Linked DNA regions of Anolis sagrei. The protein of the gene in region 3 interacts with the protein of the main gene of each other region in a pairwise test. Links are inferred from orthologs where the notes say so. Each region holds a gene or a part of one and is shown on either strand. Other genes may lie near its edges.

Region 1 (7,385 bases), on a different chromosome or scaffold from region 3:
GTTATTCAGACTTGGTAATGCTGCTATACAACCTAATGAAGACAGAGTTCCTAATAGTTTAGTACAACTGTTTTTATGGGTAACCCCAGTGGACTGAAGTTCATTGAATTTTAATAGTATATATAGAAAGCATAAACTACCTTATGCTTTCTATGCCTTCTTAGTTTAACTTGTAACCTGTGGGATGTTATCATGTTAAATGTGTGTGATGTGCTAGATTATGTTTATTAAAGTTTTTAATTTAGGTTATTTTTTGGTTTAGTTTATAGGCTTATACTGAAATTGTTTTGTCTACTGTCTTTGATTTTATCTCGTTTGTCTGTTTTTGGTATTAAATGTTTGCCATTTTGCTACTTGTTGGAAACTGCCCTCAGTCCCCTCGGGGAGACAGGGTGGGTTACAAATAAAGTATTATTATTACTAATTTGTTATTTATGGTTTATGTAGGGGCAATGTGTTTATTTGGTTTAGTAAAAGTAAAGGTTTCCCCTGACATTAAATCTAGTCGTGTCCAACTCTGGGGGATGGTGCTCATCTTCATTTCTAAGAAGAAGAGCCAGTATTGTCCGTAGACATCTACAAGGTCATGTGGCCAGCATGACTGGCTGGAGTGTCATTACCTTCCCGCATAAGCGGTACTTATTAACTCACTTTTGCATATTTTTGAACTGCTAGGCTGACAGAGGCTTCTCCTGACATTAAGTCTATTCATGTCCGACTCTGGGACATGATGGTCATCTCCATTTCTAAGCCGAAGAGCCGGCGTTGTCCGTAAACACCTTCTAGGTCATGTGGCCAGCATGACGGCATGGAGCGCTGTTACCTTCCCACAGAAGCGGTACTTTTTCATTAACTCACATTTGCATGTTTTTGAACTGCTAGGCTGGCAGAAGCTGGGCCTAACAACTGTACATCACTTTGAGTCCTACCCATGGGAGAAAAGCAGGATAAAAATTAATACATGATTATGATTATGATTATTATTGTGCATAGAATATATATGAGTGCAGTGGGTTAAACTGCTGAGCTGCTGAGCTTGTTGACTGAAAGGTCGCAGGTTCAAATCTAGGGAGCAGCATGAGCTCCCACTGTCAGCCTCAGCTTCTGCCAACCTAGCAGTTCAAAAACATGCAAGTGTGAGTAGATCAACAGGTACTGCTCCAGCGGGACAGTAACAGCGTTACATGCAGTCATGCTGGCCACATGACCTTGGAGGCTTTTTTTTTTAAAATCGTGTCAGGACCGACCTGAGAAACTGCAAGTCGCTCCTGTTGTGAGAGAATTGGCCGTCTGCAAGGACATTGCCCAGGGGATACCCGGATGATTTGATGTTTTTATCATCCTTGTGGGAGGCTTCTCTCACGTCCCCGCATGAGGAGCTGGAGCTGATAGAGGGAGCTCATCCGCCTCTCCCCGGATTCGAACCTGTGACCTGTGACCTTCAGTCCTGCCGGCACAGAGCTTTAACCCACTGCGCCACCAGGGGCTCTTGGAGGACACCTTGGAGGTGTCTACAGACAATGCCGGCTCTTCGGCTTAGAAATGAGCACCAACCCCCAAAGTCGGATCCGACTGGACTTAACGTCAGGGGACAACCTTACCTTTACCTTAGAACATATGTATATATATATAAACACCCATATTACAATATATGTGGATGTATGCTGGTATGTAACAAAAGAGAAAGTGTATTGTCGAAGGCTTTCATGACCGGAATCACTGGGTTGTGTAGGTTTTGTGGGCTATAGGGCCATGTTCTAGAGCACGGGTCCTCAAACTAAGGCCTTAGGTCATTTACCCGGCCCTCGCTCAGGGTCAACCTAAGTCTGAGATGACTTGAAAGCACACAACAACAACAATCCTATCTCATCAGCCAAAAGTAGGATCACGCTTCCCATTGAAATACTAATAAGCTTATATTTGTTAACATTATTCTTCATTTTAATTATTGTATTGTTTTAAAGTATTTTTTGCACTACAAATAAAATATGTGGAGTGTGCATAGTAATTCATTCTTTTTTTCCCAAATTATAACCTGGCCCTCCAACAGTTTGAATGATTGTGACCTGGCCCTCTGCTTAAAAAGTTCTAGAGGCATTCATAGAATCAAAGAGTTGGAAGAGACCTCATGGGCCATCCAGTCCAACCCCCTGCCAAGAAGCAGGAATATTGCATTCAAATCACCCCTGACAGATGGCCATCCAGCCTCTGTTTAAAAGCTTCCAAAGAAGGAGCCTCCACCACACTCCGGGGCAGAGAGTTCCACTGCTGAACGGCTCTCACAGTCAGGAAGTTCTTCCACATGTTCAGATGGAATCTCCTCTCTTGTAGTTTGAAGCCATTGTTTCAAACTACAAGAGAGGAGATTCTCTCCTGACTTTTCGCCTGCATCTATGGCAAGCATCCTCAGAGGTTGTGAGGTCTGACAACCTCTGAGGATGGTTGCCATAGATGCAGACGAAACGTCAGGAGAGAATGCTTCTAGAACATGGCCATATAGCCCGAAAAACCTACAACAACCAAAACCTCGCCTCAGGCAGCAAAATGCCTTGGGCTCTGGAATGAATTCCTATTGCGAATGACAGCAGATCCCTGCCATCAACTTGGATAGCTTTGTGGGGTTGTCTTCAGTCCACAGTGAAAGAGGGAAGGGCAGCCCTCCCTTTACCCCCCAAGGCCTCGTTTTACCCCGCCATGTTTACTTGAGAGGAAGCTCAGTCTATCCCAACAGAGGAAAGAGTGCGCATGCGCAGTAGCGCTCACCTCCTGACTTTCTTCCTCACTTACCTGCCCGGCTGCTGCAATAGGTCCTGGAACTGGCCCGTCGACGTTGCTTCCACCAGGGCTCCGGCACTGCTTCCTCCTCCGCCTCCGCCTCCGCCTCCTTCTGCTGCCATGGCTGGTGTTGCTCTCCGCGCCGCCGCCAAGAAGAGAAGCAGGGAGGCGCTAAGGACACTACCAGGCTCCCAGCCTATCGCCGGCACGCCACGCATGCGCCGTAGCTTCGCCTCTCCCGCCTCCTCCCTTTTTGAATCTCGCTTTCACCCTCGAGAACGGAGGATGAAAGATCGCGCATGCGCACTGGGGTAAAGTGAAGCCTTGCCTTGGAAGCAGTGATTCCCAAACGCCAGTAATGTTTACCTATGATCCTGTTGCTTACTGTTTCCTGTATGTATGTTCCGGTATGCAGCTTCCTTTACTCTATGGTTCCTGAGAGGTTGCAAAAGGGGCTGCAGACCACATGCTCTCTCTCTCTTTGACTATAACTGTTTTATTATAAGAGAAATGTCCTGCACAGGACACCATGTCAAACATATCTGAACCTGGACTGATACGTTTTGTACCTGTGTATGCTGAACACATGAAGGTTGTGAGTAAACCAAATATGTTTATTTATTTATTTATTTATTTACATTATTTCTATCCAATTCCAGGGAGCGGCGTGAGCTTCCGCTGTCAGCCCTAGCTTCTGCCAACCTAGCAGTTCGAAAACATGCAAATGTGAGTAGATCAATAGGTACCGCTCTGGCGGGAAGGTAACGGCGCTCCATGTGGTCATGCTGGCCACATGACCTTGGAGGTGTCTATGGACAACGCTGGCTCTTCGGCTTAGAAATGGAGATGAGTTCCAGGGTGGCAAACCAGACACTCTACACATCAACACTGACAAAGAAACAGCAAGAAACACTGTTTACCCACAAGCATAAAGAAATTACATATATTAGAAACCAAAACTTCCTCATTACTTTATTTTCCAGATCAACAGACTGGGCCACAGCAATGTGTGGCAGGGGACAGCTAGTTAAACATAAAGGACAGTGCATAATAACAATTTAAAAAAGAACTATGTCCTCTCGTTCAAATCCTCATCCGTTACATTGTCTTGGCCGTTGCTGGGTCCTTTTCCAACTCTAGTTTGTCTATTTATTCTGGGGTTCCGAATGCTTGCTCGAAGAGCCAAGTTTTTCCTCTTTTTTGGAAAGTTAGGAGGGAGGAGGCTGATCTAATATCCCAAGGCAGGGAGTTCCGCAGCCGAGGGGCCACCACAGAGAAGGCCCTGTCTCTCGTCCCCGCCAGACGTGCTTGCGAGGCAGGAGGGATCGAGAGCAGGGGCTCCTCAGACTATCTTAAGTTCCTGGAGGGTTTGTAGGAAGAGATGCGTTCAGATAGATAAGCTGGGCCGGAACCGTTTAGGGCTTTTTAGGCTAAAGCCAGCATTTTGAATTGAGCCCAGTAGCAAACTGGCAGCCAATGGAGCTTATCAAAGTCTATTTCATTTTTTTTAATTAGAATTTTATTAATTTTTATGTAGATTACAACGAAAGAGTGAGAGCAATAAAGTATAGGAAAGTGAGGAAATAAAGAAAAAAAGGAGAAAAAAGAAGAAACAAAAAAATATATACTAAAATCCCAAACAACCCCTAAAAAAAATAAAAAAGGGAAAAAAATAAAAAAAATCTACAAAAATACACAAAAAAAGAAAAAAACTGACTTCCATTCCATCTTCTTGGATCATATCTTCTTATTATTCAAAAATATAAAATAAGTTCAAAAAGAAATTATCTCTCTTGTTTCTTATTTTCCCAAATTATCCAGATATTCATGGAGATTATCCCAATTCGTTCTTCTTAGTATCATACCTGTATTTTTCTTCAACAAAAAAGTCAATTCATCCATGTCCTTTATTTCTCTGATTTTTTCCACCCATTCCTGTACGGGTGGTACTGAGTCTTTCTTCCATTCTCTAGCAAAGTCTATTTCATTTTTGTCTCTTGAGTGCATGATATAAAACAAAATGTTTTGTGGGAGAGTATATACATTTTGGGGTAACTGAAAAACACTTCTAAAGCTCTGCAGTTTTAATGCATTGGCATAATTCAAAGTGCTGGCCTTGGCCTAGTTATTTATTATTATTTATTTCCTAAATGGCCCCGGCCCAGTTATTTATTATTATTTATTTCCGCTATTTCTAACCCATCCCTTCTCTACCCCCGAAGGGGGACTTAGGACGGATTACATTAGGCAACAGTTCGATGCCGCTTCATATAAACAATTAAAATAATACAACACAATTTAAATATATAAAGAATTAATTAATACAGTACATAAACATTAATTAAAACAATAATACAATATCATCAGCTGTATTGTCATTCTAGTCAATTTGCAACCAAAGTGCTAATTAAGTCTGCTGTCCGAAAGCCTGGTCCCACAACTACAATTTCACTTTCTTCCTGAAAGCCAGGAGGGATGAGTCCGTTCTTATCTCCTTTGGAAGCGCGTTCCACAGGCAGGGAGCCACCACCAAGAAGGCTCTATCTCTCGTCCCAGCCAAACCAGTTTGCAATGTAAGCGGGAGCGAGAGTAGGGTCTCCCCGGATTATCTTAAATTAAGAGGTGGGACATAGAGGCAGATGTGTTTGGACATGTAAGCTGGACCAGAACAGTATAGAGCTTTATAGGTCAAAACCAGCACTTTGAATTGAGCTTAGAAGTGGACCGGCAGCCAGTGGAGCAGACATAAGAGGGGGGTGGTATGCTCCCTGTATGTCACTCCAGTTAGTAATCTGGCTTCTGCCCGCTGGACTAGCTGAAGTTTCTGAACCGTCTTCAAAGGCAGCCCCACATAGTGCGCATTGCAGTAATTTATTCAGGATGTAACCAGAGCATGTACGACCATGGCCAGATCAGACTTCCCAAGGTACGTGTGCAGCTGGCACACAAGTTTTAACTGTGCAAAAGCTCCCCTAGCCACTGCCGAAACCCGGGGTTCCAGGCTCAGCGATTAATCCAGGAGCTTTTTGATTTTGTGGTGGTCCTGTACCCCTAACCAGAGTGAATATGGAGGACTGGCTGTAATGCTATTTCACTCCACTGTTTTTAGGACATCTCTGACCAGGCTACTTAAGCCATTACACATCCTTATTTGGGTTTTAAGACGTTAATGAGCCCATTCAAGAACTGAACACAAACCTGATGCCACCAAACATTAAGGATCATCTGGCCAAGTGGATGGATCTCTGTTGCAGTTGTGGAAAGAATATTGCTTCCTAAAATAAATATCCTCCCTAGTCTCTTATATCAACTACAACTGTTTGGGAGAATTTAAAACCTCTCACTTTAATAAGCTCCACAAGACCTTTTCAAGGTTCATTTGGTAGGCAAAAAACAAGAATTGTCATTAAAAATGTATAGGCCCGCCGAGACTTGGGAGAACTAAATCTCCCTAATGTTAGGCTATATTTCTGGGCATCCCATATGGAATATCTGGCAGCAGGGTCCCTGAGAAACCGAGGGCTTCAGTAGCTCCAGATTGAACAACAGGCAGCCGGCCAAATTAATCTGGCAAACCTCCCAGACAGTATAATCCTCCCAACGCTAAGCCAGAACAAGCCCTGCTGAAAGCAAAGGGGCAACAGCAAGCACAGCTCTTTGAGTATGAAAATTGGAGTTTCCAGATGTACAGATACATGCGCCCCAAGTTAAAAGAAACTTGATTGCCTGATTAAAGAAGCCATATCCAAGCCTAGGTGAAAACACATTAAGAGGTATGCAATATCCTATGGACCGCACGGCCCATCACTTGCCGTCTTATTATGGAGTGACTTACTAATGAGTCGTCCAATCAGCATTCCAGGGATTAGTCATTTGTATCTGCGGTTGATGGTCCTTGACTGCATCATCGAAATTTATCTCACCTGTAAAAGCTGGAAAAGTGTAGGGTTGCAAATTGTTTATGGAGATCCCACATTATGGGAGGAAAACTGCAGGAGGGGAATTATTGAATCGGGTAAGAAACGTTCCTGACGAACACCGTTTTTATTTCATTGTGTTCATGGGAGAAATTCCCCCATTAAAAATTAACACAGTTAAACAGAACTCTGTACTCCCTCTGGAGCCACTATTTGTGCCTGAAAGAGGAAAATAGGATTTACTTCTTTAAGGTTTCTGGCTTTAAAAAGCCCATTCTTCCTTACCCACAGATCGTCAAAGTCATCACAATGGACAGAGGACAAGAAATTGTTGAAAATGCATGATAGAGCTAAATGAATTCAAGGCAAAGAGGAGGTTAAATTTTATACATAAATTTTATCTCTCCATTTTGTATAATAAAATACATAAAAATGTAACCACATGTCTACAAAGAATACTTCAAAACCTCCCACCTCCCCCTGCCATAACATACTGTATTCCAGAACTGGGAAATTGTAGTACTATTGGGAATATCAGCACTGTTTATTATGTATTAATTTGGGTTGGGGAGTTCATAGACATAGGTATATACATACCCACACACACGCTCTTTTATGAATATAAAGGGGGGGGGGGTTGTAATACTTTTCCAGATATGTGCAATTTTCCGTTACTGAAAATATTAGATCACT
Region 2 (8,058 bases), on a different chromosome or scaffold from region 3:
ACCGCATTATATGGTCAGTGTAGACTCGTATCATGTAGTTAAAACTGCATTATATGGAAAATATAGTATAGACCCATATAATGCAGCTCAAACTACATTATACGAGTCTACACTGACCATATAATACAGCTCAAACGGCATGATATGGCCAGTATTGTATAGACCCATATAATGCAGTTCAAACTATATTATTCGAGTGTACACTGACCATATAATGCGGTTCAAACTATATTATTCGAGTGTACACTGACCATATAATGCGGTTCAAACTGCATTTTATGGCCAGTATAGTGTAGACAAATATAATGCAGCTCAAACTACATTATACACTGAACATATAACACAGTTCAAACTGCATTATATGGCCAGTTTAGTATAGACCCATATAATGCAATTCAAATTACATTATTGGAGTCTACACTGAGCATATAATGCAGCTCAAACTGCATTATTTGACAGTATAGACACAGCTTTATGGGATTCCCTTCGCAGCACAGATGGGGGCTGTGTGTTTTATTTTACACAGACAAGGCAGTCTTTCTCTTCGTTTGGGAGGGTTGAAAGAACAAAAGAATTACTCGAGACATGGCTTATGCTTGAAATAGATTTCCTCTCGCTATTCCAAGTACCTCAACTTATATTGATCTCTCCCCCCTCCCAATTAAAAAAAATCCCAATACACCCCCTCCTCAATTCGGAGATAGGAAGGCAAAGTCTATTGTTAGGTGCATGAAAATGCGTCCAGAACAACAAGGCAACAAAGGAGGATGTGGGGACGTGTTGCAGGTCTATCTGGAGCTTCCAGTTGGGAGCAAAACTTTGCTTGCTCCGCCATCTCCAGAGGCACCAGCCTCAGCTCCCCCCCCCAACCCTTTCTCTTCTCTCCTGCTCTATCTACCCCCCCCCCCCCGCCTCTACATCTCGATGTGTCCCCCCTCCTTGCATTGTGGTGAGCGGAGAGGATTGTGTAGGCCTCGGAATGCAAAGCGCTGGGCCACAGACAGTCTAACAAAAGGGAAAGATGTCTTCGGAACAATGGCGGAGAAACGAGGGAAAGTGGTGGAGGGGCTGGCGATGGCAGGCCTGGAGAGGGGGGAAGAGAAGGTTTGGAGGGGAAAAGATGGCCTGAATAGATAGATAACGAAAGAAACTAGGTCGGGAGGCAAAGAAGGAGATGATATATAATTATAGAGGAAGATGGAAAGAAGCTGCAGTAAGAGCAGGCCCATTCATGAATGTGAGGCAACACACTGGTAAATCTGCTTTAAGAGAAAGGTAAAGGTTTTCCCCTGACATTAAGTCCAGTCGTGTCCGACTCTGGGGGTTGGTGCTCATCTCCATTTCTAAGCCGAAGAGCCGGCGTTGTCCGTAGACACCTCCAAGGTCATGTGGCCTGCATGACTGCATGGAGCGCCCTTACCTTCCTGCCAGAGCTGTACCTATTGATCTACTCACATTTGCATGTTTTCGAACTGCTAGGTTGGCAGAAGCTGGGGCTGACAGTGGGAGCTCATTTTCTATTGCTTTAGCCAGAACTAATAACAAAAATTCAGATTCCAGAGTGTTAAGGTGGGTGAAATGCGATGTCTAGCCTTTCCCCTTTTTTTCTTAACGTCCCCTTTGGCCCAAAATCTCCAAACAAAACATCAAACGCGATTGATTTTAGCCCATGTGTTAATTTTCTCTTCCTGGCCTAGCATGAAACAACATTTCACTCCAAATCCAGCTTCTGAACTGCATGAAAAGTTGTGCTTATTCTTTCCCAGTGCTCTGGATGTTTCTACCAATGACATGGCGAGGAGGCAGGGACCAGGGGAACCAAGGAGACCATTGAGAAATGGGGCACTCTGTCAAGCTCCTCCTTCAGTCAACAGAGCCATGGAGAATCCGTGCTTTCTTGCTGTTTTTTTTCTGTCTGAGAGCAAAATCTGAGCACTGGGTGCAGGCAGGGGCTTTCAGCCAAAATTGAGTATTTTCCCCCTTAAAATCCCATCTGCTACAAACTGGAGTTTAGCTCTACCAAATAAATAAGGGAGACTTACTTCCTGTAAACATCCAGGAGAATGCTTGTGCCCAGATCCTATATATCAGGCCTAGACCAACTTGGGCCCTCCAGGTGTTTTGGACTTCAACTCCCACCATTCCCACCATTCCTAACCATTCCTAATAGCCTCAGGCCCCTTCGCTTAAGCGGCTGAGGGGGGAAAGGAAGGGGCCTGAGGCTGTTAGGAATGGTGGGAGTTGAAGTCCAAAACACCTGGAGGGCCCAAGTTGGCCCTGGTCTGAATTATATATACTTGACTGAATCTTGATTTTGATTGATAGGGATCCAAACCTGAAACCACTTCAGGAAACAGCCCCAATCTGGATTGGTAGCTTGGAGAACTACTGAGTGGCCGAATGCGCATGCGCAGATGCCTTTACGCGCAGACCGGCACGTACACGCATGCTCCAATGGATGGAACATCCCAGCAAACAACCCTCCATACAACAATGTCAACTTGCTCTTCGGGTTCATTTCAACTTTGCCCTAGGAATACACTATGCAAAATAAGAGCCTTTGCTAAACTAAACCTTGCAATTTTCGCCTCTCTCTCCAGGCAAAGTTCTCCAAGAAGCAGAGCTTACTCCTCACTGTATCCCTTGTCTCCTCTCCAGTCAAACCACCAGGAACCTTATCCCTCGCCCCCATGTTATGTCCTTTAGGCTCACCTTGCTTTTCAGATTTCAGATTTAACTTGAATGCTAAGCTCCCCCTCCGCATGCTTCGATAGGCCATATCTTTTTTCCATCTTTTTATGTGTAAACAGTAGGTCCCTGTGTTGTTGAAGGCTTTTGTTGCCAGAATCTCTGGGTTGCTGTGAGTTTTCCGGGCTGTATGGCTATCTCTCATGTTTCTGGAACATGTCAATGAGCCGGGGAAACTCACAGCAACCCAATAGGACCCTGTTTTCCCTTTCAGCAAGTTCCTAACCCATAGAAAGCCACCTTTCTTTAGACTCCTTTCAGGTCCGTAGCCAGGATTTTGATGCGGGGGTGGGTGGAGTGGGGCTCAGTTTGATTGGGGGGGGGGGCTGAGTTTGATGGGGGCTGGGGGAGTTGAGGATCTACCCTAGCAAACCTTTTGTATCATTATCCCAATACCCCCATGCATATGGGATATATTGAGCATGGTGATCAGATATGAATAAACATAACAGTTTAAATAATGTACCAGTAAGGCCTTCTCGCAGACCACCCTGAGAATTTCGGGGGGGGGGGGGGGCTGAAGCCCCTAAAGCCCCCTCCCCCCTTACATGCTTCCTCCTTTGATTTCAGTGAGTGAAATGGGGGACTTTCACACTGGGAAAAGACAGAGCTGGGAAACAATTACCAGGGGAACTACTGAGGCTGCTTCCAACGTCCCAGCATTGAATAACACAATCCCCAAATCTAGGGAACCTTTGATTTCAGTGCCTGGCGTCCACGAAGCCCCACCGAAGGGAAACAGTTCTCAAGTGACCAAAGGAAGCCCCCCCCCCTTCCATTGTTAAGTCTCCTCCCCCTAATTTCTAAGTCTGTCATCCAGTGTTGGTGTTTTCAGTCACAAATACCCTTTTAATGGGTTGTTGTGTGTTTTCCGGACTGCATAGCCACGTTCTAGAAGCATTCTCTTCTGACGTTTTGCCTCCATCTATGGCAGGCATCCTCAGAGGTTGTGAGGCCTGAGGATGCCTGCTATAGATGCAGGCAAAACGTCAGGAGAGAATGCTTCCGGAACGCGGCCATACAGCCCTGAAAACACACAACAACACAGCTTCTCGTTCTCTGTATCATTAGCCATTGGTTTGCAATGGGTAGACTGCAAGGCTGCAATTTGCTATGTCCCCTATCCCAACGAGAGGAAAATACATGTGCTTTAAACAGTCCTCACAACCTTTTAGGATGCCTGCCACAGATGCAGGCGAAACGTCAGGAGAGAATGCTTCTGGAACGTGGCTACACAGCCCGGGAAACACACAACAACCCAGTGATTCTGGCCATGAAAGCCTTAGACAATACAATACCCTTTTAGTTTCCAAACAGTGCATATGAGAGGGCAGGAAAGGACGTAGAGCCAGGCAGAGGCAGTTCCTGAGAGAGGCAGAAGGAAGGAGGGAAGAGGGAGGAGAGGAAGGAAGAGAGAAGGAGAAAAAGGCAGGGAGGAGCAGAGAAAGGCAGAGTTTGCACAGGCGCACTGAGGGCTCTGCAAACGCGGGCCGGGGAACCAGCTGCCTTGGCAACCCTTTGTAAGCACTTCCTCCAGCAGCCAAGCGGAGACGGATCGCTTCAAAGGCGGAGAGATGGGGGGAATGGAGAAACCTTGACTCCAAACCCACCCCACTGTCTCGCAGAGCCCCCCCCCCCAAACATCCAGCCCTCCGCCCGCAAAGGCACAATGGCGTTGCTTGCTTCATTCCCATGCAAATCATCCTTCCCTCGAGGAGGCTGGACCTACCAGCCCCGTTTTAACTCTTGCTCTGCGGAGGCGCCCGGGGTTTGGTTGGTGCCCCGCCGGAGATCACATCCATCCCCCACGGACCCCTTTCTTTCTCCTATTGACCCATTCACGCACCCACTGCTGGGTCCTTCTCCTCCATCTCCTTCCTTAGGTCTTGGTGCTAGAACCAGATCTGGTGCTGTCTGGGAAGAGAGAGAAGGAGGCGAGGCTGGCCCTCTACCGCCCCCACGCCTGGCTTCCTGGGCTTACCTGCTTGGCCGGGCTCTCCCCGCTCTGTCCCTCCCGCGGCGGGCGGGCGAGGATGGTCTCTCAGGCAGGGCGCCTGGGCTGGCTCTCCAAGCAGCCCAAGGCATTGACTGAGGATGGGCGAGGAGGAGGAGGAGGAGGAGGAAGAGGAGGAGGGGGGAGCGAGGGAGGTGTTGGCTGCGCGTCACCTTGACGGAGCAGCGCTCGGAATTTAAATGCCACCGCCAGGGCGATCCATCAAACAGGAAGGGACCGGGCCACGCTGGCAGGAGGCGCCGCTATTGGCTGCCGCCCTCACGTGGCCGCCTCCCGACTGTACATTCATATCATTTTTCTCCGGGGCCCCCATGGAGGAAGTGGGGAAGTTGGCACGGGCACCCGGGACTCCCAGCAGCCGGTGATAGATGGACTAGATGGACGCGGCGAGGATGAGTTCCTTCCTCGATTACCCGCCCATCCTCAACGGAGGAGAGCCCGCCACTTGCTCCCCCCGCGCCTACCACCACCACCATCATCCCCACCACCACCACCGCCACCACCACCCCGAGCATGGGGCCACCGCTAGCACCACCTTCCCGTCCTGCGCGGTCAGTGCCAACGGCTGCAACGGGGACGAGCGCTTCCTGGTGTCCCGAGGGGTGCCGCTCAGCCCCCATGCCCACCACCAGCCGGGCCCCGCCTACCAGCCTCACCCCGGCCTGGGCATGTCCTACCCGCACCCGGGCTACGGGGCACAGGGCTTCGGCGCCGGGGGCTACGGGCCCCACTACCCGCTGAGCCCCGAGGCAGAGGTGAACGCCGGGTACCCCCAGTGCGCGCCCGGCCTCTACTCCGGGAACGTCTCCTCCTCGCCCTCGGTGGTGCCCCACCCGGCGCAGGGCTACGCGGGGGCCGCGGTGGGCTCGGCCCCCTACCTCCAGCCCCCCTATGGAGAAGAGCAGCAGGGACTGCCCTTGACCAGCTATGGACACCCCTTGTCCCCTCTCCAGTCCAGCCACCAGGAACCCTGCGGCTCCCCCTCAGCTTCCGAGACCTCTCCTCCGGCCCAGACTTTCGACTGGATGAAAGTGAAGAGGAACCCACCCAAAACAGGTGAGTCACCGTCCCCATTAGTCGGGCTGGAAAGACATGAGAGAAGGATCCCATAGGATGGTAAAATATCCTCTGCAGACGGCCCATTCTCTCACACGATTTAAAAAGTCGGGCTGGAAAAGTTGGAAGTGCCAAACTTTCTTCTGCTCTTTCTTTCATTATTTCGAAATAGACCACTAGCCACCAGACCAGACCCAAATAGACTGAAGAAGAATTAGAGTTGGGTTCCTGAAGCTGGGCGATTAGCTTGCAAGGGGGACATGTTCTGATTTGGGGTTCTAATTGAAAGACAACTATTTTGGAAAGGGGATTTATCCTCCCATCAACTGCTCTTGGGGCTTCGAATTGAAATACTCAACTTTGAGGTCCATAGGTGTTTATTTATTCCTTCCACGAGGGTGGTAAAACATTAAACATCCGGGAGTTTCCTGGCTAACGTCCTTGCAGACGGCCAATTTTTTTTCACACCAGAAGCAACGTGCTGTTTCTCAAGTCATTCCCTTTGGGGTCCTAACAGCAACCAATTCTCTGGTGTCCTATCATCTCAAGAAGTTAGTCTCAGTATAAGTGGGGAGTCTTTGAGCAAACAAAGTCAGAACTGGCCCAGAAAGTTTCTTTCAAGGTGACAGGTATAAAGGCCTTGTCTCTTAATACCTGTCACCTAGAGCTTTGAGGAGCCCGGGGTAGTGCAATGGGTGGCACAATGGGTTCGAATCTGGGGAGAGGGCTGAGCTCCCTCTGTCAGCTCCAGCTCTTCATGCGGGGACATGAGAGAAGCCTCCCATGAGGATGGTAAAACATCAAACATCCTGGTGTCCCCTAGGCAACGTCCTTGTAGACAGCCAATTCTCTCACACCAGAAGCGACTTGCAGTTTCTCAAGTCGCTCCTGACACAAAAAAGAAAAAGAAACCTTGCATCTTGTGGTGTCCACCCTCCCCTTTGCTGGCAGGACTGAAGACTGACAGGTCTCAAATTCGAATCTGGGGAAAGCGCGGATGAGCTCCCTCTGTCAGCTCCAGCTCCCCATGTGAGGACAAAAGAGAAGCCTCCCAGAAGGATGGTAAAACATCAAAACATCCGGGCATCCCCTGGGCAACGTCCTCGCAGACGGCCAGTTCTCTCACACCAGTAGCGACTTGCAGTTTCTCAAGTCGCCCCTGACACAGAAAAGAAAAAGAAACCTTGCGCCTTGTGGTGTTCACCCTCCCCTTTGCGGATTGCGGTTGCCTTATTGTTCTTGTTGTCTTTTTTTCTTTTTCTCCAGGGAAAGCGGGCGAGTACGGCTACGTGGGTCAGCCCAACACGGTCCGAACCAACTTCACCACCAAGCAGTTGACGGAACTGGAGAAAGAGTTCCACTTCAACAAATACCTGACCCGGGCCCGGAGGGTGGAGATCGCGGCCTCTTTGCAACTCAACGAGACCCAGGTCAAGATCTGGTTCCAGAACCGCAGGATGAAGCAGAAGAAGCGGGAGAAAGAGGGCTTGCTGCCCATTTCGCCGGCCACCCCGACCGGAAGTGAGGACAAAGCGGAGGAGTCTTCGGAGAAGTCCAGCCCATCCCCGTGCACCCCCTCCCCGGCCTCCTCTACCTCAGACACTCTGGCTACCTCCCATTGAACTAAACGGGACCCACTCCCCAATCCTCGAAGGCACAATCCTTGCGTCGTTTTTTTTCTAGATTGGGTTCAGAAAGGCTTTAAACAAAAAAACTATACATTTCCTCCCTCCGGGTAGTTTTATGTCTCCACTGGCACTAAGATGTCAGAGGGGGGAACCAACCCCGCGAGATCCTGAACTTCTTCACTCTGGAAGCCAATCCCCTTGATTTCAGAGGACTTTCTTCCCCCTCCCCCTACAAATCGGTACAACGTTTAATCTCTTCCCAAAACCAAGGAAGAGAGCCAGAGTTGTGCAGTGAGCCTTTCACCACGATTTTAGAGACCAAGGCTGGATCAAGGAAACCCACAGGGTGACCTTGGGCGAGTCACACTCTCTCAGCCCTAGAAAAAAAGGCACATAACAAGGACAACTAACAACTGCAACAGCCAAGGAAAGTAATGTGGTGAGGCTTAGTTAGAGACTAACTGGAACCTCATTGATTTCAGTAGGATTTCGTTAGGATTGGTTTACTACCTTTGAATAAGTTCGGTAATGGGTATCCACAATCCCCTTTATTATTATTATTATTAGACTAAATTTCCTTCCTCAATTTTTAAATTCGGTTTCATCTCCCCC
Region 3 (8,035 bases):
TGTGTAGGAACCGAGAGACAGCAAAAGAATAGACTTCAGGGCCTGATATTAGGTTTGTGATGTAAAATGAAACAAATAAATAGATTTTGAGCTGAAACAATGTTAGTGAATGCTCAGGTGGCAGGAGGCTGCTTACTGAAAAACAAATATGCTACAGCTATTCTGTGCTGTTTTTCCTTATCTAGTTCTGCAGCAATATAACAAAATCAGCAATGCCAAGTCATACAAAGCTGGGGATTTATTGTTCTCATTTTTGAAATTAGCTTCTTTGAACTGGATCCTATATTTTGAAAAAAAAATATATAAAAGGGCAGGGGGTTGTTGGGTCAATTTTAAGAAAAGTGCTTATGTGTATATGGATGAAAAGCTTGGGGAAGACTACATATAGTTCCCCTTAGAAAACATATACAAATCACTTTGGGGTGCTCTGTACTAGCACTACTACTTCTACTACTCATCAGCAGCAGCATCATAGGTGATCCCTCGTGGCTATGATTGCCTTGCAAATGTAGGGTCTTGGCAGTGGATCTGTAGGTGACTGTAGAGGCATATTCTTGATCTGCATGTTCTTTCACACTGAGAACATTGATTTCCAGATGGAAGGTGGTCCCAACAAGGGTTGGCTTGACATGTTTCTCCCTTTCACCCTTCATTTGTATCTTTTCAAATTCCACAGCACTGTTGGTAACAGCTGCCCTCTAGTTAGAACGCTAAAGGGCCAGGGCTTCCCAGTTCTTGGTGTCTATTCCACAGTTTTAAAGGTAGGTTAGGCTTTAAGCCTATCTTTAAATCTCTTTTCCTGTCCACCAACCTTCCATTTTCCATTCTTGAGACGGTAGTAAAGTTAGTACTCCTACTACTACTACCACTGAAGGTGCATCCATACTATAACATTCCTGCAGTTTGACATCATCTTAACTGCTACAGCTCAATACCATGGAATCATGGGACTTGTAGTTTTACAAGGTCTTTAGTCTTCTCTACCAACGAGTAGTGTTGCACCACCAAACTACACATCCCAGGATTCCATAGCATTGAGCCCTCACAGTTAAAGTGATGTCAAGATACAGGAATTTTATAATGTGGAAGCACCCTACAGCTGCAGACGACTAGAGGCCTGCTAGCATAAATCGTCGGTTTAAATTCCATTCATGAGGCAGGATTTGGTTCGACCTTCAGCCAGGCTGTCACTGTTCAATAGAGTTAGTTCTGATATCATGGACAGCCTATAGTTTGGTTATAACATTCATATTTTTCTGGCTTCCATTGCATCCCATCCTACAACTGAATAAATATTCTTTATAACCTCACTCTTTAATATCATTTGTAACCCATTTGAAAAAAGTGGGGTTTATATCCTCAATAGCCATTAGTCTTAAAAACTGCAGCCACATTCCATTTTTTCCCTTCCTGGCCCTTGTTCCTTTTTATGTAGATGGATCCATCACTTTGCTTTGCCTAGTTTACATTGTACTAGAGCTTCAGTGGGAGAAAAAGAAATTACGTGATTTCTGAGTGGCCAAGTCACCTCTAACTCGGGTGGAGATCAAAATAATAAATTTGGAACCAGAGAAAGGGACAGCAGGTACTGAACATTGATTCTGAAGTACAGCATAGTAGTTTGAGAGTTGGATTATAATTCTGGAGAACAGGCTGGTAGTAAAGTTAGTACTTCTACTAGTTCAAATCATCACTCGGCCATGAAAACTCATTGGGTAACCTTGGGCAAGTTCCACACACTTAGCTTCAGAAAACCTCATTATAGGTTCACCTTAGGACAGCCGTAAGCCAGATATGACTTAAAGGCAAACATCAACAATAAGGATACAGGGTCTGTGTCAGGATCCTTGAGTTGCAGATTAGCTACTTTCTCCCTTCTCTAGTATCGATTATTATTTGCAAAGCAACAACAAAAATACAAGAAATGTGTGGTGCTCTCTCTCCCCGCAAAATAAAAAAATAAGTGCAGCAGACCCCTTTCTCATCACCTGACGATCATATAACAACATGCTAAACCTGTACAATTACATTTATAGTTTGAGCACTGTAGCTTTTCTGAAAGTGTAGAGATCAATATAGTTTTGTGACTGTACAGATCAGGAACTGGATGCAGCAACATCTTAACTATGGCATACATAACAAGAGGACATCCTTGTGATACATATATGGTATTTAGTGCTTGCTCTAATAACTAACTCCATATGCAGACAGAATTTGAGTCAAACTAAGGCCATGAAAAACAAGATGAACAAAACTGAAGTAGCACTACTGAAACTATCTCATAGTGGGCTGAAGTCTCCATTGATCAACTATCTATCTATTTTTGGGCACAGGACCTCAACTACAAGTTATGGTTTTTGCAATAATGTTTCTACTCACTTGTATTACAGTTCACATCTTGGACAATAAAAATGGCATTGTACTCACACTTAACAAATGGATTTTCTATGAGGCAATAATTTTATTTTCATTCTATTTTTAGTATTTTTTTCTTACCTTGAAAAACACCTCAGCTTTCTTAGGAGTATTTTCATTTTCCACACTTGCACTTTGAGTCCTAAAGGAAAATAGCCATTGCCTCCATACTGACAGGTCATAAAAAGGCATGTTTCTGAATCCAGTTCCACAGTCAGCTATCTTTGAAAAATGGCACCAGCCTTAAAGAAATCCACCTTAAACCTGGACACTGAAAGATTAATAATAAGATTATTTTCCCTTTGTAACAAGGGAACAAGGATGCGACTCTCATCTCCAGAAGATTGCTTGATCTTTCTTGCACTGCTTATTCTTGTGATGGCAAGCAGGATGATCTCCATGTAGCAGTTCCTTTTTTTAGTCCACAAAGTATTCGTTCTTTACTCCAGCTTTGTACCTAAATCTTGAGTGCATGTTTGAGATCAAGATTATTACAAAATTTGCTGTTTGACTGTCGAATCTCAGATGAAGCCTCTAGAAAGACATTTAAACTTCAAATAGCTCTTGCAATTAGTGCGGAGTGTCAAGATTCACGGTATAATTAACTGGGGTTTACATATAGCCTGGGACAGACTGGATTAGGCAGAGGATGACACAGTTCAATTTAGACCAGTGGTATTTGTCAGTTGATTGAGCAGATGGTGTTTCACTAATCCTTTGAATCTAAATGAAAATTCCATATTAGCAGAAGAAGCAATCACTTCCACAGATTTCAGGTGGATTACTAGGAACTCTCTGATTTTCTCTTGAATAGCAGAAAAGGCATCTATTTCTTTCAATAAGACCTGATTAACTGGTTGCGTTCAACATTGTATTGCATACATTCATCATTTGTGAGAGCAGAATACAGAATAAAAACTGGAGGTTAAATTGCTATCACCGATTCATTCATTAAGCCCTCTTAATCATATGGCCACTTCGGTCTGTCAGCAATACTTCCATAATTATATTTGTGACAAATTGGTGCCCTTCGGTTTCACTCTGTGCTTTCTTGCTTTAATCCAATTACTGCAAAGAGTCTTTCATAGATTTTGTCTCATGCTGTAAAATCCCTGTTTGCTCAGCTTTTGAGAATGAATTATTACATTTGAGCATTATTATATATTGTATTGTATGAGAGCCAGTGTGCAAAAAGAGAGCCAAACTAAGAAACAGAGTCCAACTAAACGTTACACCACTTGTGCAAATAGTTGGAAACTGGGTGGGTGGGCGGCTTGGGATAATATGTCTTCTGACTGTCCCAGTTTGACAGGGATGGTGGTGATTGACTTTAAAAGTGGATGGCCTTAAAATTGGGCCCCTGGTCTCGTGAATAGAGAATACCACCTTCCTGAACTTATTGAATGGGTATTTCAAACATGAGAAATTCCCCAAAACTACAACTCTCCCACAATTATCTTCCACAGAAGAGATATCAATTAATCAAACAGATAGATGAGTTTTCTCCAGCCTGTCCCCTTGGAGGTGTCCTGAAATATATGTTGTTTCCAGATGAATGTGTTGTTGTCTCAGCACATCTGGAGGGTATCAAATTGGCAGGTGGTTGGGCTGGATGGCCCACGAGGTCTCGTCCAACTCTATGATTCGAAGGCACAACAATGGGTGAGCCTCTTTAATACTACATAGGAGGGACTTACATGTTATAAATATATGCTTTCATATCTCTGTTCCACCAAAGTGTATGTGCTAAAGCTGTCTATGGCAGGACCGTAGCCAGAAAAAAATTTCGGGGAGGGTTGAACATTTGGGGGGGGGGGGAGTTTTGAAAATTTCGGGGGGGGGGGTTAAAAATTTGGGAGGGGGGAGAGTTGAAACCTGCCTCTTAGGTCACGCTGAAGCAAAGAGCACAGCGGGGGGGGGGGGGGGGGGCAGAACAGCCTTCAATAGCCTGCAGCTCCGCCCCTGTCAACCACCTCCACCAAGTCTGGCCTCCTTAGTGAGAGCATTCAACACCCCCCCCCCAACATGGTTGCTTTGCTACATCGGCTATTGCTGCAAGTAATGACAGTGTGAATAAATTGTCAATATTTGCTTGAGATAGTGCTTGCAGGGAGGGACTCTTAATTTTTTGCGTCTCATAGACTTAGCATGGGGATAAACCAATGCCAGAAGGGACAGAAAGTTTCATCTATGCTGATGATCGTGCCATTACTGCTCAAGCAGGGAGCTTTGAGATGGTTGAACACAAGCTCTCCGAAGCTCTAGGTGCTCTAACTGCCTATTACAGGGAAAACCAACTTATCCCTAATCCATCTAAAACACAGACATGTGCCTTCCATGTCAAAAAACAGACAAGCATCCCGAGCTCTGAGGATCACCTGGGAAGGAATCTCACTAGAGCATTGCAGCACACCCAAGTACATGGGTGTCACTCTGGACCGTGCTCTGACCTACAAGAAGCACTGCCTGAACATCAAGCAAAAAGTGGGTGCTAGAAACAACATCATACAAAAGCTGACTGGCACAACCTGGGGATCACAACCAGATATAGTGAAGACATCTGCCCTTGCACTGTGCTACTCTGCTGCTGAGTACGCATGCCCGGTGTGGAACACATCTCACCACACTAAAACAGTAGATGTGGCCCTTAATGAGACATGCCCCATTATCATGGGGTGTCTGCACCCTAAACCACTGGAGAAATTACACTGCTTAGCCGGTATTGCACCACCTGACATCTGCCGGGAAGTAGCAGCCAATAGTGAAAGGACCAAGGCAGAGACATCTCCAGCTCATCCCTTGTTTGGGTGTCAGCCAGCATGTCAACGACTTAAATCTAGAAATAGTTTTCGTAGATCTACAGAGACACTCGCTGGAACACCTCAGCAAGCGAGAGTCCAAACCTGCCAAGCTCAAACCCAGAGCCTCAATCGATGGCTGATACCAAATGAGGGACTCCCCCCTGGGCACACAGAAGACTGGGTGACTTGGAAGGTGCTGAACAGACTGCGCTCTGGCACCACGAGATGCAGAGCCAACCTTCAGAAATGGGGCTACAAAGTGGAATCCACAACATGTGAGTGCGGAGAAGAGCAAACTACAAACCACCTGCTGCAATGCAACCTGAGCCCTGCCACATACACAATGGAGGACCTCCTTGTGGCAACACCAGAGGCACTCCAAGTGGCCAGCTACTGGTTAAAGGACATTTAATCAACTACCAAGCTTGCAAACTCTGTCTTTTGTATGTATGTTTGTTTGTTTGTTTGTTTGTTCTGTAAATAATGTAACACAACTGTTCGGTTCCCTGGCACGATAAATAAATAACGCTAAGGAATTCTGGTAAGTTGTAGTGTGGTGCATGCTGAAGACCTTGCAAAACTACAACTCCCATAATGCTCAGTTTAAAGGGATGTCAAGCTGCAGCAATTCTACAAGTCTAGGGGCACCCTTAGAAAGGCATATATAAAGGGAACGCTCGTGATTCAATATATATATATATATATATATATATATATATATTGAATCACGAGCGTTCCCTCTATATATGCCTTTCTAAGGGTGCCCCTAGACAATAAATATATTGAATCACGAGCGTTCCCTTTAAGAGACAGGCTCTCCTTGGCCGGCTCTGCCTTCTTCGCCTGCTCCTGTCAATCAGGCTGGGAAGGGGCGCAAGGCCGAAGGCGATTGGCTAGCTGGAGGAACGCCCCTCCCCGCGCTGCTTCAGAGAAGAGAGAGAGGGGAAAGGAGAGGCAGAGATGGCAGCAGCAGAGGCGCACCGGGTGCTGGTCTATGGAGGGCGGGGAAGTTAACCAGTTAACCAAATTCATTAGTAAACCTGTTAAAATTAATGAGTAAACCAGATTTTTTTTTAACCTGAAAAACTTCGGGGGGAGGGGGGGGTTGAACCCCTAAACCCCCCCCCCTCGCCACGGGCCTGGTCTATGGCATATATGTATGCACAGAAGAGACCATGCATACATGTAGAGTTTTGAGATCAGAGCCAGTCCTATCATTAGGAAGTGGGAGGCAGTTGTCTGGGACCCCTTCCACACAGCTGAATAAAAATTCCACACTATCTGTTTTGAACTGGCAGTGTGCTCAGATAACCTAGTTCAAAGCAAATATTGTGGGTTTTTCTTTCTCAATATTCTGGGTTATATGGCTGTGTGGAAGGGCCCTCAGGCATCACATTGTGATGCCACAAAAGGACCAGTCTGCTCCCGACCTCTGATGCTCCAAAATAGTGAAAGTTTTTTTAAAGTCTTGGAAAATAAGAGTTGTGGTTTGACAACAAGCTCAATGGTTTGAAACCTCAGTACCTAGAATCCCAAGGCCTCTTTCACACACTGAATAAAATCCAACATTTTCTGGATTGTTGTAGGTTTTTTTGGGCTATATGGTCATGTTCTAGAGGCATTCTCTCCTGGCGTTTCGCTTGCATCTATGGCAAGCATCCTCAAAGGTAGTGAGGTCATTTTCTGCTTGAACTGGAAAGAATATGTGACAGTGTGGATTCAGATAACCCAGTTCAAAGCAGATATTGTGAGATTTTCTGCCTTGATATTCTGGGTTATATGGCTGTGTGGAAGGGCCACAAGAGCTTCTCAACTAATAATTATCTGAATGCTTTCCACTCTAACGGTTACAATAAAATTGAATTAAGAAATAATTAATCTGAATTTGTTAAACTTTTAAATTTTGCCATCTATATACAAGGATTTGAACTTTAGCCGTATTTTTGGTTTCTTTTTTTAATGTCAAGTAAGTTCTGTGAATTACATGGATATATTATGTTATCTTGACCTTTTGCTTATTCTTTGTTTTCAGGGGATTCCATTCTCTTTCTTTTCTAGCAGCTAATACTGAAGAGGAAATGCAATAAAAGCCAGTTAAAAATGGTAAAGGTCAAGTAGTACAAGTATACCATATAACTGCAATTTTCAGAAATATAAACATGTGATCTTTCATTTGCTTTACAAAAAATAAAGGAAAAATTGGGCCTTTGAAGCCACCTAAATGTTATTTTTTTTAAAAAAACTATTGTATTGTATTCCTTAAATGTTATTGATCACTTATTTTTTTGCAACTCTGGCTTTGAATTCTTATTTGTAAAGATAATTCTACAGTGGCTTTGAGTGCATAAAGTGTTCTATGGCTCCTTTTTATCCACTACTATTTATTTCTGCCAAGACCACTGGATTGCGAGACCATACATCACTAAGAAAAATTAAGAACCACCTTTATGCTCTTGCTGCAAGAAAAGAAGTTTGAGGAAACAATTCCAAGATTCTAAGGAAGAAGCTGTTTCATTATTGGATAGTACTGTTGGTGTTCTGTTTATAGGTGGGGAAAGTGGCCTACTACCATGTTAGACTGCAGCTTCCAAAATTCTTTCACTGGCCATGCTGATATGGGGAGTTCCAGTTTAAAAGTAGAAAAAATAGAGATGTGCAAAATTTTGGAGGTAGTTTCGTAAATAAGGAGATTCGTATGATTTGGTAATTACAAATTACAAATCGAAAGAGCACCCTCCGAAACTTTTGGAAAATGCATAAATAATTCATTGGTTCAGAGCATTTTTTACAATGTAACAAAATTTCCTGGGCTGGGAGGG
Region 4 (7,900 bases), on a different chromosome or scaffold from region 3:
TTAGAAAAGGAAAGCAATGGAAAGGGTATTAGTGTATTGGCCAAAATCATGTGGGAACTTGAGTGGTAGTAATGTTACGTATTTAAAACACATGATTTTATTTCCTGGCCTTCAGAAAGAAAGTGAAAGGAAGCTTCTTAAAGTCCATCTCAAGTTCATTGCGGAAGGGGGAAGTGAAGACCAATGAACTTGAGAGGGCTGCACATCTAATGTAGTTTTTCCTTTTCCAAAATGGAAACAAAGCAACAATTGAATTCCTACTGAACACATGAAAGCATGATACTAGACCTTGACTAAGAATTGCAGCTTAAAGCTTTCAGGGCTGATGATTTCCCCTTTTCAGCCTAGAGAGTGCCTTTAGGCTGTAAGAATGACCCTGAGCCATATGCAGCCCTTGGGTCATACCATCCTTGCCGTTAAGATGTAACAGAATAATGTCACAAATTAAGACTTCAAACAAGAAGCATTCTCCCATAGCCTTTGTGGAAACAGATCAGGCTGAATTGTAAGCAATTCTCATTCAAATTTCTATGATCTTGTATTCCTTCCTGTCAAAATAATGTTTATATGTGTGTATACCTGTATGTATATCTATATTTCCATTTCCTTTAGTGGCTGTCATTTTCATCTTCACTTCTCTGGGAACACTGAAATTGGGTGGGACTCACCTGGGGAGAGCAACACAGGAAGCGAGTCTCATACTCTTCATTCATGGTGACCACTCCCCGAACATTTTCTTTGTCTACCAGCTACAAGAAAAAACAAAAACAAATGCATAGCCATATACCCTTTTCAAAAAACATCTATCTAGTTCGGTCTCCTCAAACAGCTGCCAGTAGTTTTCCTTCGATGCCAACTATAAACATCTGTTCAATTTAAATTGGCAGGCAAATGGCACAGAAATAAACTTAGAAATCCATTATTTTAATAGAAATCATAATAAACACTGGTATTCTATAAAAAGCAACATATGGAATGGCACAAATTTAAATTGAATTATAACTACCACTCAAAAGCAATGTGTTGAATGTCTAGATCAGCGTTTCTCAACATGAGGGTCGGGACCCCCGAGGGGGTTGCAAGAAGGTTTCAGAGAGGCCGCCAGACAATCAGAAAACATATTTCTGATGGTCTTAAGAACCCCTTTGGTAGAAAAGGGTGAAGATCTCTCTGCCTGTCCTTTTTCTTTTTGGAAACACCTCCCACCAAAAGCTTTCCTCTACTGTGATTGGCTGGCCTCTCAGACAAGGGGAGGGCTGTTTTTGAGACTCAAGGCAGGAGGGGAGAGCAGGCATGCTTGGCGCATGGCAGCGTGGTGCGCATGTGTGGGCAAGGGAGAGTGTGTGAGACTGCCGTGAGACCCTTCAAAGCATGGGAATGCTGTGAGACCCTTCAAAGCATGGGAATGCTGTGTGGGAAGTTTGTCCTAATTCTATTGTTGGTGGAGTTCAGAACGCTCTTTGATAGTAGGTAAACTATAAATGACTGACAACTGGAAAATAGAGGGAGAAAATGTGGAGGCCGTGACAGACTTTGTATTCCTAGGCGCAAAGATTACTGCAGATGCAGACTGTGGCCAGGAAATCAGAAGACGCTTACTTCTTGGGAGGAGAGCAATGTCCAGTCTCGATAAAATCGTAAAGAGTAGAGACATCAGACTGGCAACAAAGATCCGCCTAGTCAAAGCCATGGTATTCCATGTAGTCACCTACGGTTGTGAGAGCTGGACCTTAGGGAAGGCTGAGCGAAGAAAGATCGATGCTTTTGAGCTGTGGTGTTGGAGGAAAGTTCTGAGAGTGCCTTGGACTGCGAGAAGATCCAACCAGTCCTTCCTCCAGGAAATAAAGCCCGGCTGCTCATTGGAGGGAAGGATACTAGAGACAAAGTTGAAGTACTTTGGCCACATCATGAGGAGACAGCAAAGCCTAGAGAAGACAATTATGCTGGGGAAAGTGGAAGGCAAAAGGAAGAGGGGCCGACCAAGGGCAAGATGGATGGATGGCATCCTTGAAGTGACTGGACTGACCTTGAAGGAGCTGGGGGTGGTGACGGCCGACAGGGAGCTCTGGCGTGGGCTGGTCCATGAGGTCACGAAGAGTCGGAGACGACTGAACGAATGAACAACAACAAACTATAAATTCCAGCAACTATAACTCCCAAATGTCAAGGTCTATTTCCCCCCAAATCCACCAGTATTCACATTTGGGCATAATTGAGTATTTGTGCCAAGTTTGGTCCAAATCCACCATTGTTTTGAGTCCACAGTGCTCTCTAGATATAGGTGAACTACAACTCCAAAACTCGAGGCTGATGTCCACCAAACCCTTCCAGTGTTTTCTCTTAGTCGTGGGAGTTCTGTGTGCCAAGCTTGGTTCAATTCCATCATTGGTGGAGTTCAGAATGCTCTTTGACTGTAGGTTAACTATAAATCTATAAAACTGTCAAGTTGCATCCTGAGAAAAGTTCGGCTTTTCGGCCTGCTGCTCCCACAAGTTTGGGAGAGCGGGTGGGGAAATTGGGGGGCTGCGTTCTCTCTCCCTGGGGAAGGTGGCGTGGGTTCCAGGACCCCGCGGTGTCCCCACCTCCCCCCCGTCGTCGTCGTCGTGGCCTTCTCCTTCGGGGCCCGGTTTACCTGCCGGCAGCGTCCCCTGAGCGGCAGGGCGCCGAGGAGGACGGCGTGGTCGATGCGGCTGAACCAGGGCCTCTGCGAGCCGGGCACGCGCTCCCTGGCCAGCGTGTAGAGCAGCGTCGGGTAGAAGAGGAGCCGGGCGGCGCCGGGGCCCAGCGCGCTCCGGAGCACCATGGCCAGCTCGCCCGCGGCTTCACGCCATCGTCGCAGCGAGAGGGGAAGCGGCGGAGGAGGAGGAGGAGGAGGAGGGCCGCCTGGCGAGCTCATCCCGCGGCCGCCGCCCTCATCCTCGCGGCCCCGCCGAGAACAGCCTCAACCTCCGCGGAGATGGAAGGCGAACCGCCGCGCCTCAGGGGAGAGCCGGGCGCGCCCATTGGTGCGTTGGGAGAGGGGGGCGGCTTCTTTCCCTCCCTCGCGCGCCCAGCACGGACTCTCCCTCTCACCTTCCTGTTTACACGCCCCCCTCCCTCCGCCTTGGAATGGTCTCTCCCGGAAGTGCCGCCATCTTGCGACACCGTCCTGAGGCGGAGGGAGCCGAGCGGGGCGCGGGCGGATCCCCCGGGGCAAGCGAGGGCGGCGGCCGCCAGGAGGAGCCCGGGAAGGGCAGGGAGGGGACGGCACGCAGCCGGCGGTGAGTCTGCGCCCTCCGGCCTCCTCCCGGGCGGCTTCTTTCCCTCCTGGGAGGAATATTATGCTGCTTTTTATTTTGACTGGGCCTCCCTTTCCCTTGCCGGTGTATGTCTGCTTGTATGTATGTATGTATGTTTGTGGGGAGTTTGGTAGGGGAAAGGAATCGCAACCCTCCTCCCACCCCCCGCGTGTCCTTTTGGTTCGGTCCAGCCCAAACGCTAGGCTTTGAAAACAGGCGGGCCCATTAGGGGGAAATGGGGGGAGTCTTGCTTCACAGCCGATTGTCCCATTTCACCCCGCTCCCCCCCCCCGCGTGTCCTTTTGGTTCGGCCCAGCCCAGACGCGAGGCTTTGAAAACGGGCGGGCCCATTAGTGGGAAATGGGGGGAGCCGACTGTCCCAGCAAGTTAGCGGTGTTGGCTGTGAGTAAAGCTTCCCTTCAGCTTGTTTCTCCTGAAATAGCTGCGAGCCAGGCAGGCGGGCGGGGTGAGGGGGGAATCACAGGACTCGGGAGCCGCCGCCATCCCAGGGCGAAGGGGCGGGGCTGGTCTCCTAGAGGCCGCTTTTTGGCCCGACGCAGAGCCTCCCTCCCCGTTACAGAGTCTGCGATTGACCCGCAACAGCGCCCCCCCCCCAACCCCACCCGGGTAAATTAACCCAGGACCACTGGGCCTCTGTGTAAAGGGATTCCCACTAGCGAGGGGTTCGCATGGCGTGGATTCCGGGTCGTTTTATGGACTTGGGGGGGGGGGGGGGGAGGTCCCAGTCCCAGTCCCTAGAAGGTTGGGCACGTGATAGGGTTTAAATGGCGAGCTTCTGACTCTTGCAAGAGACGCCTTCCTTGGTTTATAATGGAAGTCTTTTCCCCCCTCCCTCCCTCCCCTCGCTCTCCTCTGGTAACTTGGCTCCCACAAGTCATGTTTTGAAGCAGCTTGTTGGGAAACACACTGAAATGGGAGACGAGACGGATGAGGAGGCAGAAAGGTGGCGAACAAAGTGGAAGTGGAGGAATTTATTTTTTAAATAAAGATTTCATATGGGTAGAGATTTAGTGTATTTGTTAGATTGCTCAGTAACAGTGTAGTTTAGCCACACATTAATGCTTGAAATGCTCGCCAGAATTTACTCGTTCCTTAGGATACTCCTCTGAAAAAATATTTCACGTTTGCTGTCTCCTTCTGCCCTGTACTGTTTCAGAATGTGCTGGGAAAAATCTTTTCATGTAGGAGTGATTTTATATTGTCTGCAATGTACTTGGGGTGTTTGGGTGTGGTGAGCGTTTCTTTCTCAGATACTTCTACAAGGATCTGTAGTTTTTTCTGTCTTTCCATTCATATGCCAATAACATAGTGTTCGCTAATGCTTTTGTATTTTTATTCTGCTCAGAACATGAAAAAAAAATGAGTATTGAAGTTAGTTTTCCTAGCCTTGTGTCCCACATATAGGGATGATATTCAGTCCTATCTGACATCACCAAAACTAATTAGAAGAACTAACATCTTTTATACATATATATATATAATATATATATAAATTTCTTAAGACGTTGCTTCTATTCCTTATACTGGCTGCTGCTTATTCAGTTGCTTGCTGGGCAGAAAAAAACTAATGCCCACAGAATGGTCTCTGTCTGGTAGGATGATACTGTGGATATAGAACAGTCCTTTGGCAAACTTTGGTCTTCCAGGTGTTTTGGACTTCAGTCCTTAAAATTGTGGGAGTTGAAGTCCAAAACACCTGAACGACCAAAGTTTGCCCATGCCTGATATAGAAGGTGCTGATATAGAATCCTCTTTCAAAAAACAAAACAATTGGAGTGAGAGTGGAATATTCTTTTCACTTCAACTTGACTTTGATCATGATGTAGAGGTAATTACATGATGGAGAAAAATGGAAAAGGTAGAGAAGAGGAGATGAAATGAGTTGAGAGGGAAAGCTGTAAGAGGAACAAACCTAATTCTGCTAAATTCTCAGCCAGAAATGTGCATTTAAGGACATTCCTGCTTATTCCATAATAACTGAAAAGTAAACTTGCAATTTAATAGAGAATGGGATGACATACCAGACTAAAGCACTCCTTGGTGTGGCTGTTAACTGAGCATTCAAAACTGAGGCAGAAGGATTAATTAAAAAGCAACTGTAAGACTGAATTTTCAAGGGAAGTGCAATCCTATGTAGCATAGCTTAAATCACTTCTTCCAGATCAGCTATATACACTGATCATGAGTAAGTTTCGGTTGTCTTGATGGAACTTCATTTTAAAGCACTGTATAAAAACAAAATGTATATATATATATAACTGCACAAAAAAAAACCCTCTTGATGTTATTATCCCACCAAGGTCCCTATGAAGAATACTCCTCAATGTTTTTATTTTAGTTTTTATTTTAAGGTATTTTGTTTTGTGGGTTGCTTTTACTTTTATGTTTTTTTGGGGGGATTGTTTTTTGGGGGTTTTGTTTGTTTGTTTTGCTTTTATGTATTATGAACATATGTAAGCCACCTCGATTGCCTTCAGGGAGATGGTGGCAGAGTATAAGAATAAAAGTATTATTATCAATGTCACTAGTAAGATATACAGTTCCTACATATGCTAATTTACAGCCATGTCTAAAAATATGCCATGACTACAAATATCTTTGAATGCAAATTTCAGAAGTAATATGAATTTTTAGAGATAATGTCCAGAATGTAGTGGGAGATATCCATTGACATAACTGTTTCTGCCTATAGATCAAAAGGGGGAAAGAAATCTCTGCTCCCTGCTGTAGCGCCCCCCTTTCAAAAACTTCTTTCAGAGACTATAATGCTGATTGAGATATTAGAATAATCAAAACATAAATGGCATGTTGAGTCATTCCAAGGCAGCTAGTTAGTCATTGTGTCCAAATGTACTTATTGAAAAGATACGATTTTCCAGCAAAAGATATGGTGCATAATTTCTTACCATGTTACAAATTACATGGAGACAGAACCTGTGTTTGAATTGGCTTGATTGAAATATCCATTTACTCTATTCAGCCATAAACAGTATTTTATTCCCTTGGTTTACAGATGTAAATAATAGATACAGGATTGTGCTTTACATTATTTGTGCATCTAGGAAATATTATTATTAAATGTCAGTGTTTCTCTCCTCCCTTCCCCCCGCAAGGATTTTCTTAGTGGCTATATTAAGGTATGAGATAATATGATTAAATATGTCTGCTTCTGTGCTTATATAAATAAGTGGGTGATGAACACCTTTTATTTACTGAAGAAGAACATATGTATGTGTGCATATTGAGCATAAGTACTAAATACACTACTGATGTATAAGAAAATGAGTGTGTCACATGTTTTTACATATTTTGCTTTGCTTTGAGTGCTTCTGAGCCTTTACACTATATCCAGTATATCATTAGCAGAAAAAGATGAAGGAGGGCATTCCACAAATGCTTGCATGTTTTACTAGCAGCAACTAAAACAGTGGAATGACTAGTACCAGAAATACTTCGTGTATTGGAATCACAGTGAATTGTGGAAGTTCTTATGCAGTAACCTGCATAAATGGAAGCAAAGGTTTCGTTTGTTGTTTCATTTTACAGTTGCGTCTCCCCCCCCCCTCCAATTTGTGTGTGTTAGGGGCCCAGGACTTCTGCAAAAGTGGAAAGCCATGAATATAATAAGTCCCTCCCCAACACATATGCTACCGACTTTTTCCTACAACAGCCCTAGTCCAGCAGTCCCTTCCCATTACAAAGCCTCATCCAAAACAATCCACCTGCTTCATTTCACTCCTACTTCCCCTTCACCTGGTGTTTCATGTCCTGCCAGCAACACCACCCCCTCACTCCATTCTGCATCTTCCCACTACAAAAACTCAAGTACCACTACCAAAGATCTTTTCTCCTCCTGCTGCTAAAATTTAATTTAATCCCCTTTTCCACAGACAGTGGAAGGAGTGAGGTGAGGAGGTTGATTGTTGGGAAATTGATTCAAAATCCTGCAGGAGAAAGAGAGAGAAGAGGAGGTGACTCATTGGGGAAAGAGTTCAACCAGGCAGCAAAAGGAGAGCCTTCATGGAATCACAGAGTTGTAAAAGACCACAAGGACCATCCAGTCCACCCCCACCCCCAATTATGGTCAGATGGTGGGAAATGCTGTGAGGGGCTGGTGTTTTTGGCAGGACTTGGAAGAACAAGTGGAAGAGCAGCAAAATGAGTGGGATAAAGAGATTGAGATTAAGTAGCATTTAAAAATTGCAGCTGGATTTTCAAGTTGCCCATCTATGCACTATGTCGATAACCCTCTATTATTTTTTCAAATAAACATTGCATTTGTGTTTTTGTTGCTTTTTAACTCATATTATTTGCTTGCTGGCTTTTATTGCTGTTGTGTGTGTGCTTTATAATACCTTTAGTGCAACTCTAAATAATGTATTTGATACTTGTGCAAAGATGGGAATAGAATAGAACTCTGAATTATTAGAGTAGCATTACATTTAGTCATTCATCATCAATATAAAATGAAAGTTTGTTTAGATACAATCCTGCTATTAAAATTGTGCAGTTTGGCCTTCATATCCTTGGGGATTGGTCCCAGGACCCTACAGCTATACCATTCTTGGATGCTCAAGTCTCCAAAATAAAAAAGAAACTCT

Evidence for each region.
Region 1: the proteins of RGS20 (region 3) and GLRX3 interact in binary tests that used the Homo sapiens proteins (3 or more experiments, as listed by UniProt). The link is inferred for Anolis sagrei from reciprocal best matches to the Homo sapiens genes RGS20 and GLRX3.
Region 2: the proteins of RGS20 (region 3) and HOXA1 interact in binary tests that used the Homo sapiens proteins (3 or more experiments, as listed by UniProt). The two-hybrid records come from large-scale screens. The link is inferred for Anolis sagrei from reciprocal best matches to the Homo sapiens genes RGS20 and HOXA1.
Region 4: the proteins of RGS20 (region 3) and PTPMT1 interact in binary tests that used the Homo sapiens proteins (3 or more experiments, as listed by UniProt). The two-hybrid records come from large-scale screens. The link is inferred for Anolis sagrei from reciprocal best matches to the Homo sapiens genes RGS20 and PTPMT1.

The regions. Positions count from the first base shown.
Region 1 is NC_090023.1:193,040,721-193,048,105, forward strand, and holds the start of GLRX3 (glutaredoxin-3), read right to left. Parts: upstream 3,014-7,385; 5' UTR 2,994-3,013; coding exon 2,788-2,993; intron 1-2,787. UniProt on the Homo sapiens protein: Together with BOLA2, acts as a cytosolic iron-sulfur (Fe-S) cluster assembly factor that facilitates [2Fe-2S] cluster insertion into a subset of cytosolic proteins.
Region 2 is NC_090026.1:91,198,401-91,206,458, forward strand, and holds HOXA1 (homeobox protein Hox-A1), read left to right. Parts: upstream 1-5,032; 5' UTR 5,033-5,139; coding exon 5,140-5,818; intron 5,819-7,084; coding exon 7,085-7,440; 3' UTR 7,441-8,022; downstream 8,023-8,058. UniProt on the Homo sapiens protein: Sequence-specific transcription factor. Regulates multiple developmental processes including brainstem, inner and outer ear, abducens nerve and cardiovascular development and morphogenesis as well as cognition and behavior.
Region 3 is NC_090024.1:50,769,518-50,777,552, forward strand, and holds the start of RGS20 (regulator of G-protein signaling 20), read right to left. Parts: upstream 3,062-8,035; 5' UTR 2,608-3,061; coding exon 2,497-2,607; intron 1-2,496. UniProt on the Homo sapiens protein: Inhibits signal transduction by increasing the GTPase activity of G protein alpha subunits thereby driving them into their inactive GDP-bound form.
Region 4 is NC_090021.1:280,294,977-280,302,876, reverse strand, and holds the start of PTPMT1 (phosphatidylglycerophosphatase and protein-tyrosine phosphatase 1), read right to left. Parts: upstream 3,057-7,900; 5' UTR 2,897-3,056; coding exon 2,633-2,896; intron 750-2,632; coding exon 669-749; intron 1-668. UniProt on the Homo sapiens protein: Lipid phosphatase which dephosphorylates phosphatidylglycerophosphate (PGP) to phosphatidylglycerol (PG).